Macaca fascicularis: one gene and its partners. The protein of the gene in region 1 interacts with the protein of each later gene in a pairwise test. Links are inferred from orthologs where the notes say so. Each region holds a gene or a part of one and is shown on either strand. Other genes may lie near its edges.

What was found.
Region 2: the proteins of SGTA (region 1) and GRN interact in binary tests that used the Homo sapiens proteins (3 or more experiments, as listed by UniProt). The two-hybrid records come from large-scale screens. The link is inferred for Macaca fascicularis from reciprocal best matches to the Homo sapiens genes SGTA and GRN.
Region 3: the proteins of SGTA (region 1) and ZG16 interact in binary tests that used the Homo sapiens proteins (3 or more experiments, as listed by UniProt). The two-hybrid records come from large-scale screens. The link is inferred for Macaca fascicularis from reciprocal best matches to the Homo sapiens genes SGTA and ZG16.

The regions. Positions count from the first base shown.
Region 1 is NC_088393.1:3,463,179-3,468,914, forward strand, and holds the start of SGTA (small glutamine-rich tetratricopeptide repeat-containing protein alpha), read right to left. Parts: upstream 3,423-5,736; 5' UTR 3,382-3,422; intron 1-3,381. UniProt on the Homo sapiens protein: Co-chaperone that binds misfolded and hydrophobic patches-containing client proteins in the cytosol. Mediates their targeting to the endoplasmic reticulum but also regulates their sorting to the proteasome when targeting fails.
Region 2 is NC_088390.1:65,405,786-65,411,271, reverse strand, and holds the start of GRN (progranulin), read right to left. Parts: upstream 3,527-5,486; 5' UTR 3,494-3,526; exon of another isoform or gene 3,086-3,493; intron 1-3,085. UniProt on the Homo sapiens protein: Secreted protein that acts as a key regulator of lysosomal function and as a growth factor involved in inflammation, wound healing and cell proliferation. Regulates protein trafficking to lysosomes, and also the activity of lysosomal enzymes.
Region 3 is NC_088394.1:28,356,919-28,362,649, reverse strand, and holds the start of ZG16 (zymogen granule membrane protein 16), read left to right. Parts: upstream 1-2,205; 5' UTR 2,206-2,336; exon of another isoform or gene 2,337-2,679; coding exon of another isoform or gene 2,680-3,354; intron 3,355-3,648; exon of another isoform or gene 3,649-3,787; intron 3,788-4,317; exon of another isoform or gene 4,318-4,440; intron 4,441-5,731. Other genes in the region: C20H16orf54 (transmembrane protein C16orf54 homolog), read right to left, coding at 2,680-3,354. UniProt on the Homo sapiens protein: May play a role in protein trafficking. May act as a linker molecule between the submembranous matrix on the luminal side of zymogen granule membrane (ZGM) and aggregated secretory proteins during granule formation in the TGN.

The DNA of each region.
Region 1 (5,736 bases):
TTCGAGACCAGTTTGGGCTATTATACAGTGTACAGTGAGACCCTACAAAAGAGACTCCACCAAAAAAAAAAAAAATTAGCCTGACGTGGCGGCACACATCAGTAGTCCCAGCTGCTTGAGAGGCTGAGGCGAGAAGATCGTTTTGAGCCCAGGAGTTGGAGGCTGCAGTGAGCTGTGACTGGGCTCTGCACTCCAGCCCGGGTGACAAAGTGAGACCCTGTCTCTAAAACCAGACAAAAAACTCACAACCACCTCTCTTCCTTATTTCCCTGCCCAGAATGGATCATTCAATGGAAAAAAACAGAATATCCTCGTAAACTGAGGCCATCTTACCTCCTTACACTCCAGTAGGAAGCGCCCGCTCTTGCCCACCGCCTTCTGTGAGCACTCTGCCCGCCTCCATCCCAAATCCACGTTGCTTCTCACCAACAGCAGGGCAGGAAAGCCAGGTGCCCTGCTCCTCACTCCCTCTCAGGACACCCGAGTTCTAGCTCAGTCCCCTGCCCACTCCCCACATCGAAGTCCACTTTCTTCTAAAATGCCACCAGGAGGTCACTGTACACATAAAAGCCCTCAAGTGCTCCCTGGAACCCCAGGAGTGTGCATAGGAGGCCCCCCCACCAGCTGGGGGTCGTCTGTGGGGCCTACACCAAACCCTGTACGTGCCACTCAAACTCAAGTGCTCACCTCTCCTGCCCAACTCTAGGAGAGAATCTAGTATTCCTGCAAACTCCATCTCTGGCCCAGCATCTCTTACAAGGCTTTCTACCTCTTGACAGACCCAGCTTCCCTTTGAACGCCAGCATCTGGCAGCGTCTAAACCCTATGGACTCAGGAAAGCCTTCGATGGTTGAAAAATTCACAGACACGTGGTCAAGTTCCTTGAAATGGGGAGGCCATTTCTCTCTGGGTTTCTGTTTCCACCTCAGTAAAAGAGAAAACGGGCCAGGTGCAGTGAGGCACGCCTGTAATCACAGAACTCTGGAGGCCAAGGTGGAGGATCGCTTGAACCCAGGAGTTTGAGACCAGCCTGGGTAACACGGTGAAACCCTATCTCTAAAACAACAAAATACTAAAATTAGCCGGGTGTGGTAGTGCACACCTGTAGTCCCAGCTACTCAGGAGGCTGAGGTGGGAGGGCCTGAGCCCGGGAGGTCGAGGCTGCAGTGAGCGGAGATTGCGCCACTACACTCCAGCCTGGGCGACAGAGCAAGACCTTATCTCAAACCACCCCTTTTATGCCTTCGGCCTGTACCGAGCACTTCCTACCAGGGCCACTGTTGGGTCTTGGCAAAAAAACAACCATAGAATTGAGTAAGACTGCCGCTCTCAAGGATCCGTCCAATCTGGGGCAGAGCTCACCCCCATTTGGAATCATTCACCCTTCTAGGAAGATTTAATTATAAACCTCAGCTCAAATCCTTGGCGCGCTTACAGCTTTCCAGGCACCCAGCTAAGTGCTGTACATGCGATAGCTTATTTTAGGGGTCAGCAGAGGTTTTTCTGAAAAGGGCCAGACTGTCTTCAGCTCGGCAGGCGCTAAGGTCCCTACGGCAACTGTTCAACTGTGTCTTCTTAGCTCGAAACCAACCACAGGTAACATGCAAACCAAGGAGTGTGGCTGTGTTCCCACAAACCTTCATTCCCAAAAACAGGCCAGAGGTGGATTTGGCCTTCTGGTTAGCTGATACCTTGCCCGGTTGAATCCTCACACACCTGAGGTGGTTACTTTTATAATCCCCATTCCACAGAAGAAAAACTGAGGCTTGGAAAGATGGGAACCACCCAAGACCACCCAGCTAGGAGGATGCAAATGAGGCGTTCTGAACCCAGGCAGCCTCACTTGAGAAGCTAAACTCCAAAGTGCCCACTTCTCGCCACACAAAATTGGGTGCACACACAAAACTTTGTATACCATTTCCCGGGCCCACACACTCCCAGCTGCCCATGCTGGGGAAGAATCACTGATCTAGGGTAGGTTTTTTTTGTTTTTTGGTTTTTTTTGACAGGGTCTCGCTCTGTCACCCAGGCTGGAGTGCAGTGGCGTGATCTTGGGTCTCTGTAACCTCTGCCTCCTGGGTTCAAGGGATTCTTCTGCCTCAGCCTCCTGAGTAGCTGGGATTACAGGCGCACGCCACCATGCCCAGCTAAGTTTTGTATTTTCAAGAGAGACGGGGTTTCACCACATTGGTCAGGCTGGTCTCGAACTCCTGACCTCAGGTGATCCACCCGTATGGTAGGGTGTGGTTTTTAAAGCGTTATTGACATTCAAAGTTGGATCGTTTTCTGGGGTGGGGCCGTCCTGGGCACTGCAGGGTGCTGAGCAGCAACCCTGGCCTCCACCGACTCCAAACCAGGGGGTCCCCTGAATCGTGAAAAGCACAAATGTCACCAAGAATCTCTGGGGCACAGAATTGTTCCTGGTTGAGAACCACACTGGTCAAGGGAGGGAAAAGGCAGAGAGAACGAATAATCAGAGACAGAAGCAAAAGTAAACGGGACAATGATCCAACCTCTGAGAGGCACATTGCACTGCAATTTTCTGCCACCTAATAACAAAAACAGCTGTTCTCAAGCCAGCTCTCTCTTATCAAGTTCCAGGCACCTGATCAAATCATTGAATGTGGGCTTATCCTCATAATGACCCTCCCAGACATCTGCTTTTACAACTCGTTTACGAAAAAGAAGGTTTGCTCAGAGAGGGAAGGCAACTCATCCAGGTTTACACAGCGGGTGGGTGGTGGTGGTGGGCTGGTTCTGAATCCCAGATTTCCCCCACCTCTAGCACGATATGCAGAAGAAGACTCTAAACATGAAATAAGACGAACGGCTGCTAATTCTTTGGAGTTCTCAGATTCCGCTGGACCCTGCGGCGGCTCTCATTCTCCCAGGCAGGGACTTCTGACAACGCCCGTTTTACAGACGGGAAAACTGAGGCTCCGAGAAGCCAAGAGGCTGGGCAAGGTCACCCAGGTAGGGACTGGCGACGCTGGGACCAGAGCCCCGACTTGAGTCCCCACAAACGGGGGTCCCCGAGTCACAGGGACGACTTTTCCAGGCAGTTAGTAAGAGCGGAACGGCAGCGAACACCCAGCGAGCGCTCAGTACATGCGGGGCGCCTTCCCCTCCAGCCGTCCTCGCCACCAGTCCGCGGACCAGCATTTCCAGGACCTGGGGCCCGGGGAAGGGAGATCAGGGCTCGAAGGGCCTGCCGATGCCGCCCGGCCTCAGTTTCCCCTCCGCTCCGCCTACTCACAGGACCCCGCGGGTCGCGCTGACCCTGGCCTCACGATCCCCAACCTCTTACGGGCTCTGGGGCCCCGTGAGCCCCGAGTCGCAGACCCCACACCCGCCAGGCTCAGCACAGTGCCCCTCACTCACCTCTCAGGCGACCGATCCCCGACCCACCGACGGTTGCGCTTGCGCACCGCGGAGCCGCCCGGCCCCGGCCCCCGGGCGCGACGCCTGCGCAGAAGAAGGGCTCCCCGGGTTGCTTCCCTTCTGCACAGGCGCGTTAATGATCGAGGTGGGCGTGGAAGGAAGTGACGCAACGTAGAGGCGGGAACCAGCTGGTCGTTAGGGCAACTGACCTCTACGACCTAATGGAGGCCGGAAGTCGGGGCTGGTTTGCCCTCTAGGGCGGGAACGAAGCGGTGCACGGTGGAACAGTGGCTGACTCCAGCCGGTCGCCGAGCTGACCACGTGGTGCTGGGCCGGCCACGTGGTGCAGCCGCGTTTGGCCACCTGGACTCCAGAGCGTCATAGCCCCGCAATGAATGGGAGTCAGTGTTGTCCGCTCGCTATCTTTGTTCATTTATTCACCCACCCATCTACTCACCCACAAATGCATTCTTTCATGCAGTCAATTTATGAGACGCTTGTGAGAATAGAAACATTAGTAGGCAGCAGGTGCCTAATATTCCATATTTATTGCAAACCAGTCATAAAAACCAGCAAAGTGTCTACTGTCATTATTTTGCATTGGGGTAGACGAACTATAAACTAATAAACTAGTACATAAGTAGATAAACAAGAAATTTCACAGCTAACACTACAAAAAAAATGAAGGTGGTGTGATTGCCACCGGGAGCTAAGTTGTATGGTATGGGTAGGAAAGATCATCCTTTAGATTTGGATTTCAAGGATAGGAAAAAGTCCAAACGGACCCCAGGCACAGGGAACAGCAAAAATGAAGGCCAATGTAAAAGCTTGGTGTGCTCAAGACATATGGAAAAAAAAATAGAGATGAGAGATGAGAAATTTCCAAGGACGACAGAAAACTGATCACCATCTGAGTTATAATTGACAGAAATGTTCTCCCAATTCATTGTTGTCCTACTCGAAATACATGCACGATTAATGGCGTGGATTATTTTAATTTCTTTTGCAGAAATAAAGAAGGTGAGACCGGGCGCGGTGGCTGACACCTGTAATCCCAGCACTTTGGGAGGCCAAGGGGCAGATCACTTGAGGTCAGAAGTTCGAGACCAGCCTGGCCAACATGCTGAAAACCTGTCTCTACTAAAAATACAAAAACTAGCCGGGCGTGGTGCGGGCATCTGTAGTCCCAGCTACTCGGGAGGTTGAGGCAGGAGAATCGCTTGAACCCGAGAGGCAGAGGTTGCAGTGAGCCGAGATCGCGCCATGGTACTCCAGCCTGGGCGACAGAGTGAGACTCCGTCCAGTCCCTCCAAAACAAAACGAAACAAAAACAAAAAACATAAAAGGAAAGGAGGTCGGTTGCTTCGTTTTTGCCAGTTTAATTGTAGTACATTGTTTTTTCTGGGTGCCATAACAGTTCAAGACAGACGGTTCCAGATGTTTTTTGTTTCAACCCACAACACTGGATGTAGGTCAGGTTACTGCACTGTTCCAAAACACCTGTTATTTGACATGAATCAGTTTACTTGCTTATGTTTCTGACAAAAAATAAACCTTGGCCGGGCGCGGTGGCTCACACCTGTAATCCCAGCACTTTGGGCGGCCGAGGCGGGCGGATCACGAGGTCAAGAGATTAAGACCATCCTGGCCAACATGGTGAAACCCTGTCTCTACTAAAAATACGAAAATTAGCCGAGCGTGGCGGCTCGCGCCTGTAGTCCCAGCTACTCGAGAGGCTGAGGCAGGAGAATTGCTTGAACCCGGGAGGCGGAGGTTGCAGTGAGCCGAGATTGCTGCCACTGCACTCCAGCCTGGGCGACAGAGCGAGACTCCGTCTCAAAAACAACCAAACACCAAAACTTCTGGTTAATGTAATTGATTCGTCTGATTCAGATGCTGGAAAGTGGGCCTGGGATACAGTTAGCGATCGATAATAACACTGGCCCAACACACAGCTATAAGAAGGGAGGCAAGCACACAATAACACGGTAGCCTGAAGCCCAGGCGAAGTTTCCGCGGAAAGAACCGCTCAGACAGAGGCTGAGAGGCGTCAGCGGCGTGCGGTTTCCAAGGAAACCGTCCTTTCTAGCCACCGCAGCGGCTCTGGAGGGGTACCGCAAGAGGCTCCGCCCACGCAACCCCGAGACCAATGACGGACTGGGAGGGTTGAGCGCATGCGCAGAGAGCTCCAGCGTCTCGGCCCGCCTCCTTTAGGTGTGGGCGGGGCTTGGGCACGCGTGCGTCCTGCCCTCCCTGTGCACGCGCCGCCCCAGCATGCCCCGGGTGCGCAGGCGGCGGGTCGCTTGGTCTTCAGGCGGCCGTGGCGGCGGTGGCGGCGGTTGGGCCGAGAGAGGC
Region 2 (5,486 bases), on another chromosome or scaffold:
GAGAGAGACCACGTGTGCCCACTGGGCTGCCCATCTGAGTCACCAGGAGGAACTGAGCCTTGAGTTTCTGCGGAGAGCAGCCTCTCACTTCCTAAACAACTCTTCTCCCAGGCTCATCTAGCCCAGCTAGCTCAGTGGGGTGGCCAGAGAGGTAACTCGTCCTGAAGAAGCAAAAACAGTAATGTCTGTTGAGCCTCTTGGGAGCCAGTTACAAGACTCTGCATTATTTTATTTCTTTGCAACAACCATCCAAAGTAGTAATTAATACCTTTACTTTACTTTTATTTTTAGAGATGAGATATTGCTATGTTGCCCAGGCTGGACTCAAACTCCTGGGATCAAGCAGTCCTCCAACCTTGGCCTCCCAATTAGCTGGGACTTTGGGAGCGTGCCACCAAGCCTGCTCACCCTTTTTTTTTTTTTTTTTTTTTGAGATGGAGTCTTGCTCTGTTGCCCATGCTAGAGTTCAGTGGCATGATCTCGGCTCACTGTAACCTCCACCTCCCAGGTTCAAGCGATCCTCCTGTCTCAGCCTCCTGAGTAGCTGGGACTACAGGCACCCGCCACCATGCTGGGCTAATTTTTGTATTTTTAGTAGAGAGGGGGTTTCACCATATTGGTCAGGCTGGTCTTGAACTCCTGACCTCAGGTGATCCACCCGCCTCAGCCTCCCTAAGTGCTGGGATTACAGGCTTGAGTCACCACACCTGGCCTCACCTTTACTTTTTTGTTTGTTTGTTTGAGACGGACTCTCCCTGTCTCCCAGGCTGGAGTGCAGTGGTGCTATCTCAGCTCACTGCAAGCTCCACCTCCTGGGTTCACGCCATTCTCCTGCCTCAGCCTCCTGAGTAGCTGGGACTACAGGCGCCTGCCAGCACGCTCGGCTAATTTTTTGTATTTTAGTAGAGACGGGGTTTCACTGTGTTAGCCAGGATGGTCTCGATCTCCTGACCTCGTGATCCACCCACCTCGGCCTCCCAGAGTGCTGGGATTACAGGCGTGAGCCACCACGCCCAGCCACTTTTACTTTCAAAGGAAGAAACTGAAGCTCAGAGATGTTAAGTACAGTCAGCCCTCCGTATCCAACCAGAGATCAAAAAATATTGGGTGTGGTGGCTCACACCTCTAATCCCAGCACTTTGGGAGGCCTAAGTGGGCGGATCACGAGGTCAGGAGTTCGAGACCAGCCTGACCAACATGGTGAAACCCCCATCTCTACTAAAAATACAAAAATTAGCCATGCGTGGTAGTGCACACCTGTAATCCCAGCTACTCAAGAGGCTGAGGCAGGAAAACGCTTGAGCCCAGGAGGTGGGGGTTGCAGTGAGTGGAGGAGATCGTGCCACCATACTCCAGCCTGGGTGATAGAGCGAGACTGAGATTCCGTCTCACAAAACAAAACAAAAACCCCAGAAAATGTTACATTGTTGCTGAGGTATACTATGTAGTTAGGCTTAGGATGGGTGCATCTATACTGAACATGTACAGATTGTTCTTTCTTATTATTCCCTAAACAATTCAGGATCACAACTATTTACATGGCATTTCTTTTTCTTTTCTTTTTTTAAATTTATTTATTATTATTATACTTTAAGTTGTAGGGTACATGTGCATAACGTGCAGGTTTGTTATATATGTATACTTGTGCCATGTTGGTGTGCTGCACTCTTTTTCTTTTCTTTTCTTTTCTTTTTTTTTTTGAGACGGAGTCTTGCTCTGACGCCCAGGCTGTAGTACAGTGGCGCAATCTCAGCTCACTGCAACCTCTGCCTCCCGGGTTCAAGCAATTCTCCTGCCTCAGCTTCCTGAGCAGCCTCCTGAGTCTGCTACCACACCTGGCTAATTTTTGTATTTTTAGTAGAGATAGGGGTTTCACCATGTTGGCCAGGCTGCCAGTCTCGAACTCCTGACCTCAGGTGATCCACCCACCACAGTCTCCCAAAGTGTGGGGATTACAGGCATGAGCCACCGTGCCCAGCCAACATGGCATTTCCATTGTATTAGGCATAAGTAATCTAGAAATGATTTAAAGTATGTATAGGTTATATGCAAATATCACACCATTTTGTATCAAGGACTTGAGCACCCAGACTTTGGGGTCCTGGAACCAGTTCCATGAAGATACCAAGGGACACCGATAACATGTCACACATCAGGTCATGGTGACGACAGGCTTTGATGGCCCCAGAGCGTATTGGACCTGGGTTAATATCACTAGTGGCACAATGGGCAGTGCCTGAGAATGGACCCCTACGCCCCAGGGGGATAGGTGCAACAGGTACCACAGAAACAGGGACTGCCTGGAAATCGCACTTGAGTCCTAATCCTGGAATTGCCAACTGTGAGGGCCTGAGAAGTTGCTCCCTGTCTGTGCCTCAGTTCCCCCACGAGTCTTGTGTGGATATCATTGGAGGGGGGAAGGGCAGGAAATGTCACCCACCCAGTCACTCACATCCTCTCTGCTCCAATTGGCTTTCCTCAAGTGCCCCTCCCCTAACTCAGCATCCCGAAGAGGCCACCTCCTGGACAGATAAGGATGCAGTTGACTGGTCCTGGACAGTGGACCCTCTCCTCAGCCCCACAGCTCCCAGGCAAAGCACCTGCAGCTGGCACCGCCTACTTCCTGCGTGTTCTCAGCAGGCTGTCCGCTGCCCTGGCTTGCTGGGAAGGGGAGTCTGTCTGCACAGGAGTGTTCAGCTCTCTGGTGAGTTACCTGTGCATGGCCCCTCCTGTTTACCCTGAGTTGAGGGAGTATAGTGTATGCTTCTACTGAATACATGCACACACATACAGAAACAGGGATGAGGAGGCGAGTCGCAGTCTCTCACGCCACCCTACACCGCCAAAACAGCCAGAGGGGACAGCAGCCTCTTCAAGACCCTAGCTCCGTTATCTTCCACTAGGTGGCAGCCCCCAACTCCGAGTGCCAAGGGGAGAGGAAATTCCCAAAAGGGGAGCCAGCCTAGCTGCAACTGAGCAGGAAAAAGTGGCTGGGAGAGGCGGAAGTTAGCTCGTCCCACCCCCAAAAAGAGGAAGTAAGGAGGAGCCAGACCAGGTTCAGTCACCACTCCCAAGTCCCTACTACCTTCGAGAAGCCAAGGTTTCAGGTCCCGTTCCCAGGCCCTCGGAGCTCCCAGCCCAGGGTCGCGCGCCCCTCCGGCTTCAGGCCGCCGCGGGAACCACCCACCACCACCACGAGAGGGAAAGAAGCCGGCACCTACCGACAGGGGTGGAGCTGAGTCAAGAATGGTGTGGTCCCTGCTTTGGGGGAATGCTGGGGAGGTAGAAAGCCCCCTTCTAACAGAGGTCACTGCAGTTACTGCTTCCTCTTTCCCATAAAACTCCCTCTAGTGTATCAGAACCCCCAAGGAGTTTCAATAAGCGGTTCTTGTCTTGTCTCCGGCTGAGACTCCCGGGGAACCTCAAGCTCACATGGCCCTAGCCGGGCCCCTGGGCAGGAGCAGGCCAGAGGTCTGCGCGGCCGCCCTCCTACCTGCGTCCGGGTCCGCGGTCCCTGGGCAGCAGCAACCGGGCAGCGCTCAGACTACAGATCCCAGCGCGGTGACCCGCCTACCTCAGTTTCCATTGGCCAGGGATCAGGGCTGCCGCACTCCCATTGGCTACTTATCAATGTGGAGGTGGGGCCAGCCTGGAATGCTGTGTTTCTTTTCTACTCAAATCACTCTCCTCCCCGCTTCCTCTCGCCCTACACCCCATTTCTAGGGATCATGTGATTGGAAAATCATGTGACGCCGGGCCAGCCTCAGCAGGGCAGCTGGTGCTCGTCGCCTTCCTTCACCCATCCTGCAGGTGCCTGGGGGAGTTTGCTAGAGATGATAGCGCGTGTCTGGGGCATTGACAGTGCGAGGGACTGTTATGAATTGGGAATATTTGTGCTCCTCTTTCTATTCTTTTGTTTGTTTGTTTGTTTTGAGATGGAGTCTCACTCTGTCGCCAAGCTGGAGTGCAGTGGCACGATCTCGGCTCACTGCAACCTCTGCCTCCCGGGTTCAAGCGATTCTCCTGCCTCAGTCTCCCGAATAGTTGGGACTACAGGCGCGCGCCACCAAGTCCAGCTAATTTTTGTATTTTTAGTAGAGACGGGGTTTCACCATGTTGGCCAGGATGGTCTTGATCTCTTGACCTCGTGATCCGCCCGCCTCGGCCTCCCAAAGCGCTGGGATTACAGGCCTAAGCCACCGCACCCGACCTTGTGTGTTTGTTTTAGAGAAAGGGTCTCGCTCGGTCGCCCAAGCTGATCATAGCTCACTGCGGCCTGCAACTCCTGCTCCCAAAGCGATTCTCCTACCGCAGGCCCCCGAGGAACTGGGATTACAGGTGTGAGCTACCGGGCTCACTCGCTCCTATCCTATCCTATCCTGCCCTGTCCTGTCCTGCTCTATTCTGCAAACTCGGATGACATGCTAGGCAGGGCCCAGAGTGAGTTGAAGGATGGTTTCCAGGACAAAGATAAACAGCCCAAAAGCCCTTTCCTCCAGGTGCTCAGCAGGACAGGGGGCAGGGATTGGTGGGAGACAGTCTCAGGCTGAATCTAATTTAATATACAAGGTCGTGCGCCAGTTGCCAGGTGTGGGAGAGGAAGTAGATTGTCTACAGGTGGGGAAGAAGATATTTCATTCCACCTTAGAAGCATCTCCTTGAGCTGAGTTTGGGAAGATTTTAACTGGCAGGTGGAGGAGGTGGTGTTGGGAAGAGCCTTGGGAAACCAGATGGGAAGGGCAGGCTTGGCAGGGATTGAATGCTATGTTCAATGCCAGTGGGCTTCAGGAGCTGCTAGGTGCCTGGCACAGGCAGGGCTGTGGCGGGGGCTGTCGAAAGGGAAGTGGCTTCCTAGTCTCCCCTGGCCCTGCCTTCGAGGAATTGATATGGGAGGGTGAGGAGAGAAAATGTACCACAGAACACATTAGCCAGTGACGAGAGTCAGGCTGCTCAGTGCCAAAGGGCCTGGGCCAGGCAGAGATGGGTGATGGGAGATGGGCCAGGAGAGAGGAGAGGCCCAGGGAAAACCTGGTCCTGGGCTGTGGAGGAAGGGCAGTGTCTGCACAGGGGATGGAGACTGCTGCAGCCTGAGCAAGACACTGGAGCTGAGGGTGAGGCGGGGGCAGGGGGACAGCTAGCCAAGCTCAAGGCAGCAGAAGTCGGAGCAGGGAAAGGGTGCCAGCCAAGCTGTGGAGTCGTGTGGCAGGGGTTCTAAGCCTGGAGTTAGAGCAGACCCAGACAGTGGATAAGACACCTGGCCTGCTGAGGACCTAGGACTTGTCTGTGCCCTGGTGACACATTTGTGCTTATTTTCCTTCCTGTGTATCTTGAGACTAGGGAGTATAGTTTATGCTTCTATTGAAACACACACACACACACGAAACTTTCATGAAATGTTAGGTGAATCCATCAATGAACCTATTAATTACAACCACCCAGAACCAGAAAAAAAATACAGGTAGAAAAAACAAAAAAAACTAAACAGA
Region 3 (5,731 bases), on another chromosome or scaffold:
GAGTGTTTCCTGGCTATGGGTGAACTTCCTGGCCAACATTAAACAATACAGCATCCCGCCCCCTGTGCGGGGCTGTCTGTCTCCCTCGGCGCTTCCAGAAGGTCTCAGTGTGGTGCTAGAGTATCTAACACTTCCTGATTTGCAGATCATCATTCCCTTTTCTTGTTAACAAAGAGCAGTGCCGGGCGCAGTGGCTCATGCCTGTAATTCCCACACTTTGGCAGGCTGAGGCAGGCAGATCACCTCAGGTCGGGAGTTCGAGACCAGCCTGGTCAGCATGGTGAAACCCTGTCTCTACTAAAAATACAAACATTAGGCTGGGCGCGGTGGCTCACGCCTGTAATCCCAGCACTTTGGGAGGCCGAGACGGGCGGATCACAAGGTCAGGAGATCGAGACCATCCTGGCTAACACGGTGAAACCCCGTCTCTACTAAAAAATACAAAAACCTAGCCGGGCGAGGTGGCGGGCGTCTGTAGTCCCAGCTACTCGGGAGGCTGAGGCAGGAGAATGGCGTGAACCCGGGAGGCGGAGCTTGCAGTGAGCTGAGATCTGGCCACTGCACTCCAGTCTGGGCAACAAAGCGAGACTCTGTCTCAACAAACAAACAAACAAACAAACAAACAAACAAACATTAGCCGGGCGTGGTGGCAGGCGCCTGTAATCCCAGCTACTCAGGAAGCTGAGGCAGGAGAATCAATTGAACCTGGGAGGCGGAGGTTGCAGTGAGCAGAGATCATGCCATTGTACCCCAGCCTGGGCAACAGAGCGAGACTCCATCTCAAAACAAAACAAAACACAACACAACAAACAAAAAAAACACAGCTGAGTTTTAGGTCAATGCTTCCATCAGGGAACAGAATTTAGATCTTAACAATTTTGTTTACATTATATTTATTTTCATCTTTTACCTTCTATTGATGGCAAATGAGACTGATTTTTCATTTACAGAAGTGATACAAAAAAAGAGTCCTGTCACAATAATTTTAATAAGTGAATAATGAGCCAATTTAGAGAAAAATATAAAGCAAATAATAGTACAGGTGGTAAACTAATATGGCAAAATTACTAATATTCAAGGCTGAAGTTTGGCCGGGCATGGTGGCTCATGTAATCCCAACACTCTGGGACTTGGGGATGAGTGGCTCTCTTGAGCCCAGGAATTCAAGACCAGCCTGGGCAACACAGCAAGACCCCATCTCTAAAAAAAAAAAAAAAAATAGCCAGGTGTGGTGGTACATGCCTGTAGTTACACCCACTGGGGAGACTGAGGTGGGAGGATCACTGAAGCCCAGGAGTTCAAGGTTGCAGTGAGCTGAGATTGTGCCACTGTATTCCAGCCTGGGCAACAGAGTAAGACCCTGTTTCAAAAAAAAAAAAAAAAGTGGCCGGGTGCAGTGCTCATGCCTGTAATCCTAGCGTTTTGGGAGGCTAAGGCTGCTGGATCACTTGAGCCTAGGAGTTGGAAACCTGCCCGGGAAGTATGGTGAGACCCTGTCTCTACAAAAAAATCCAAACATTAGCTGGGCGTGGTGGTATGTACCTGTAGTCCCAGCTATTCTAGAGGTTGAGGTGGGAGGATTGCTTGAGCCTAGGAGATCCAGGCTGCAGTGAGTTGAGATTGCATCACTGCAGTCCAGCCTGGGTGACAGAGTTGAGATTCTGTCTCAAAAAAAAAAAAAAAAAAAAAAGTGAAGTTTGAAAAATTAGACCTCCAGGGAAATGGAAACTACATCTGCTGCTCACCCACCTGCCTCTCCTAAAGGGAAGATCGGGTACTTGGGGTCCCATTTCTATGGGGTGGAGCATTATAAGTAAGCCTAGCTTGTGGCAAATCTGTCTCTCTGGACACTCCAGCAAGCTGGAAGGGACGATGATCAGAGGGCACAGTTTGGGAGCTGCCCTGCTCTGGGACTCCTCTCCACATTGGATGAAACTCAGTTCTCCCTGGCCATGGCGTTCCTCACCATGGAGTGGTGAGGGTCCTAAGCTGAGGCGTGTGCAGATGGAGGAGGAGGGGCAGGGAGCCTGTGGATTTTCTCTGACTCCAGGTCCCCACTCCAGGAAGACAGCGCCGCTCCAGCTTGGCCCAGCACAGTTCCTCCTTGCATTTTGGGGGTCAAAGCCGCAGTTCATTTGAAACAAAATGCTCCTCTGCCTGGTCTGGTCCTCTCTTTGTGTATTTTCCTAGAGGACCTCACAGTGGGTGAGTGGCCAAGGAGAACAGGATTTGTGCCTCTGGGAAACTGGATTCCTGTCATCTCCTGCCAGCTGTCATCACCACACCGAGGCTGTTCAGCACCGCGGGACCCTTTCTCTTTGGTATTGGTGGCTTCGGTAAATACTGAGGGAAGGTGGAGGTGGTGGTCGATGCCTTTTCCTGCCTATCTGGTACCTTGGGTTCTTTATCTTGATGCGATCTTGAAGGCTTCTGGCCTGGTGTTGGCTCCACCCCCAGGTCTCTGAACCACAGCCGAGGCAGCTGAGCAGAGGCACTGCTCGGCTTCCCCTAGTCCACACAGCCTGGCCACCACCCCGAACTGGGGAGGGGGACTCTAGTGGAGGGGGCCTGGGAGGGGCATCTTCCCTGGGGCAGTCTCAGTCCTAATGCTGGACGCTGGGGTCCCTGGTCCCACTGAGGCAGGGCCTTCCTCACGGGTCTCTGGGGAACCCTGGGAATTCAGAACCCCACACTGGTCCGGCCTTCACGCCTCCAGAAAGCTGAGATCTGCTCCAAAGTGACCCGTGGCTGGAGGCCCCACTCGGGATCCGGGCTCCGTGGCCGCTGCCTCCTGGCCTGGGGGCTCCCAAACTGGGCTCTGGCCTCTGGCCTCTGCTCGGGTTCAGCCCAGCTCACCAGGCCCGTGCCGGGGGGCCTCCCCTCCCAGGGCTGGGGCCCCCAGAAGGTGCTCCGGGCTGGGACCTCCGGTGGAGTCTGGGGGCCCAAGGAGCTGGGAGCAGAATTTGGGGCTGAGGGGGCATATGGGGCAGTTGCTTGGGCCTCCAAGACGCCCACTGGGGTGGGAGGCTCAGGGGCCCGGTCTGTCAGCAGGGGGACCGCAGATCCGTACCAGTCCTCAGAGCGCTCTCGGGGGGTGCCCATGGGCTCAATCCACAGCTCTCCTCCTGGGCGCCACACCAGGGTGGGTGCATGGTGGCTGGGGTCTGGGCGGAGAGCCCGGCGGAACAGGCGTTCAGCCAACACAGCGGTGGTGAGGATGAAGAGCGCAGCCAGGGTGGCCAGGGCCAGCATGATGGGGATGCAGGGCCCACAGGGCAGTGAGGGCCATGGGGCTGCCTCCCACGTGGGGGGCCCCTCCATGCGCCCAGAGGGCGGCTCTGGAGTCGACGGCATCTGGAAGACATGGGGCGAGAAGAGAAAGTAAATGAGGCAGAGGGGGCACAACAAAGATGAGAGAGAGGCAGCAGGTGTCCAGGAAAGCCTGGGAGAGGGGCTGGGCTCGGGGGCTCATGCCTGGAATCCTAGCACTTTGAGAGGCCGAGGCAGGATGATCGCTTGAGCCCAGGAGTTCAAGACCAGCCTGGACACACAGTGAAACCTCATCGCTATAAATAATTTAAAAACTAGCTGGGCATGGTGGCTCACACCTGTAGTCCCAGCTACACAGGAAGCTGAGGTGGGAGGATTACTTGAGCCCAGGAGTTCGAGGCTGCAGTGAGCCCAGATTGCACCACTGTCCTCCAGCCTGGGTGACAGAGCAAGACCCTTTCTCAAAAAAGAAAAAGAACATTCTGGAGAGACAGAGGAGCAAGGGGGACCAGAAAGGGTAAGCGTGAGCCAGGTGGGGCGGGAGGACAGGCTGCCTACCTATGCGCACAGCCAGGCCCTCTTCCCCAGCTCTCCAGGCCTTTCCAGAAGCCCCATTTCCCTCCCGGACCCCAGGGTGCCTCAGACCAGAAAGGTCTTGAGGGCCTCTTTCCTCCCCACTCGGCCCCCTCAAGTCTTGCTTAGGCCTAGAGAGGAAGTGGTGGGTGAAGAAATGAGAACCTCCCCTCCGACCGGCTCCCCTGTGTGTGTCTCCCCTACCGCCTCCCACCGGCCACCTCTGCTGGCCCCTTGGGGCTCCTTCGCCCCTTACCAGTCTCCTTGGACTTGATCTTGTTCTCATAGACTCCGTGGAATCGCGGAATCTGCTGCCGGGCCAGGCCAGGCCTCCGGAGGCGCCTCTGCACCCCTCCCAGGTTCCCCAGCTTTGCCCAGGCTCTGGCCTGTCTCTCTCTCTTGTTCGTCTCTGCACACCTCTCTCTGTCCCCCACATCCTCCATCTGCAGGGGCCTCCTGCACCCCTCAACTCACCTTGGGTCAGTCCCTGGGCGCCTCTCCCTCCTAGAGCCACTCTTCCTGGTGCCGGACTAAGAGATGCAGGCTCGGAAGGTGCAGGGCAGTCCGCCTTTCAGACATAGAGGCCGGGCCTCGGATGAAGGCGGAAGGGAGGGCACCGCCTGTTGCTGGGCAACTGTGCCCCAACTCGCCTGCCCCCGGGGAGTGTTTGTTTCCAAAGCAACCCAAGGGGATGTGGTCACTGCGGTGAGGAGGCTTTTCCTGGGGTAAGGTGGGGCTGGAATGGGCAATGGCTCTGTTGAACTTAGTGTCACCCCATAGCCAGGCCCTGGGCCCCAGAACATTCACCCAGAAGCTGAGAAAGAGGACGCAGGGGCCAGGCACAGTGGCTCACCCCTGTAATCCCAGCATTTTGAGAGGTCAAGGTGGGCAGGTCACCTGAGGTCAGGAGTTCGAGACCAGCCTGCCAACATGGCGAAACCCCATCTCTACTGAAAAATACAAAAATTAGCCGGATGTGGTGATGGGCACCTGTAATCCCAGCTGCTCGGGAGGCTGAGGCAGGGAGAATCACTTGAACCTGGGACTCAGAGGTTGCAGTGAGCTGAGATCGTGCCACCACACTCCAGCCTGGTTGACAGAGCGAGACTCCATCTTAAAAAGAAAGAAAAAGAGGCCGGGCGCGGTGGCTCAACCCTGTAATCCCAGCACTTTGGGAGGCCGAGATGGGCGGATCACGAGGTCAGGAGATCGAGACCATCCTGGCTAACACGGTGAAACCCCGTCTCTACTAAAAAATACAAAAAACTAGCCGGGCGCGGTGGCGGGCGCCTGTAGTCCCAACTACTCGGGAGGCTGAGGCAGGAGAATGGCGTGAACCCGGGAGGCGGAGCTTGCAGTGAGCTGAGATCCGGCCACTGCACTCCAGCCTGGGCGGCAGAGCGAGACTCCGTCTCAAAAAAAAAAAAAAAAAAAAAAGAAAGAAAAAGAAATAGGACACAAGTAATCTAGCCCGTACATTCCTAGAGAACCATGGTGCCTCCCCCTGCTCCTCCTGGGAGGATGCCCCACCCCATCCTGCCTTGTCCTATCCACGGTGCCTCCCCAGATCTGCTCCTGCCATCCAGCCCCCACAGGCACCCCCTGCTTGACCAACTTGCTTCACACTTTTTTTTTTAAATTTTTTTTTTTTTTGATAGGGATGGGCTCCCGCTATGTTGCCCAAGCTGGTCTCAAGCTCCTGGCCTCAGGATATCCTCCTGCCTCCGTCTCCCAAAGTGCTGCGATTATAGGTGTGAGCTACCACACTGGCTCCTGCCTCATACTTTTAATTAACATAAGTCTCTCTCTCTTCAGACCATTTAGCCCCCATTCTGGTTGGAAAATATCAGTGAGGTGAGGCTTGGGTAACAAAAATGTCAGGCCTCTG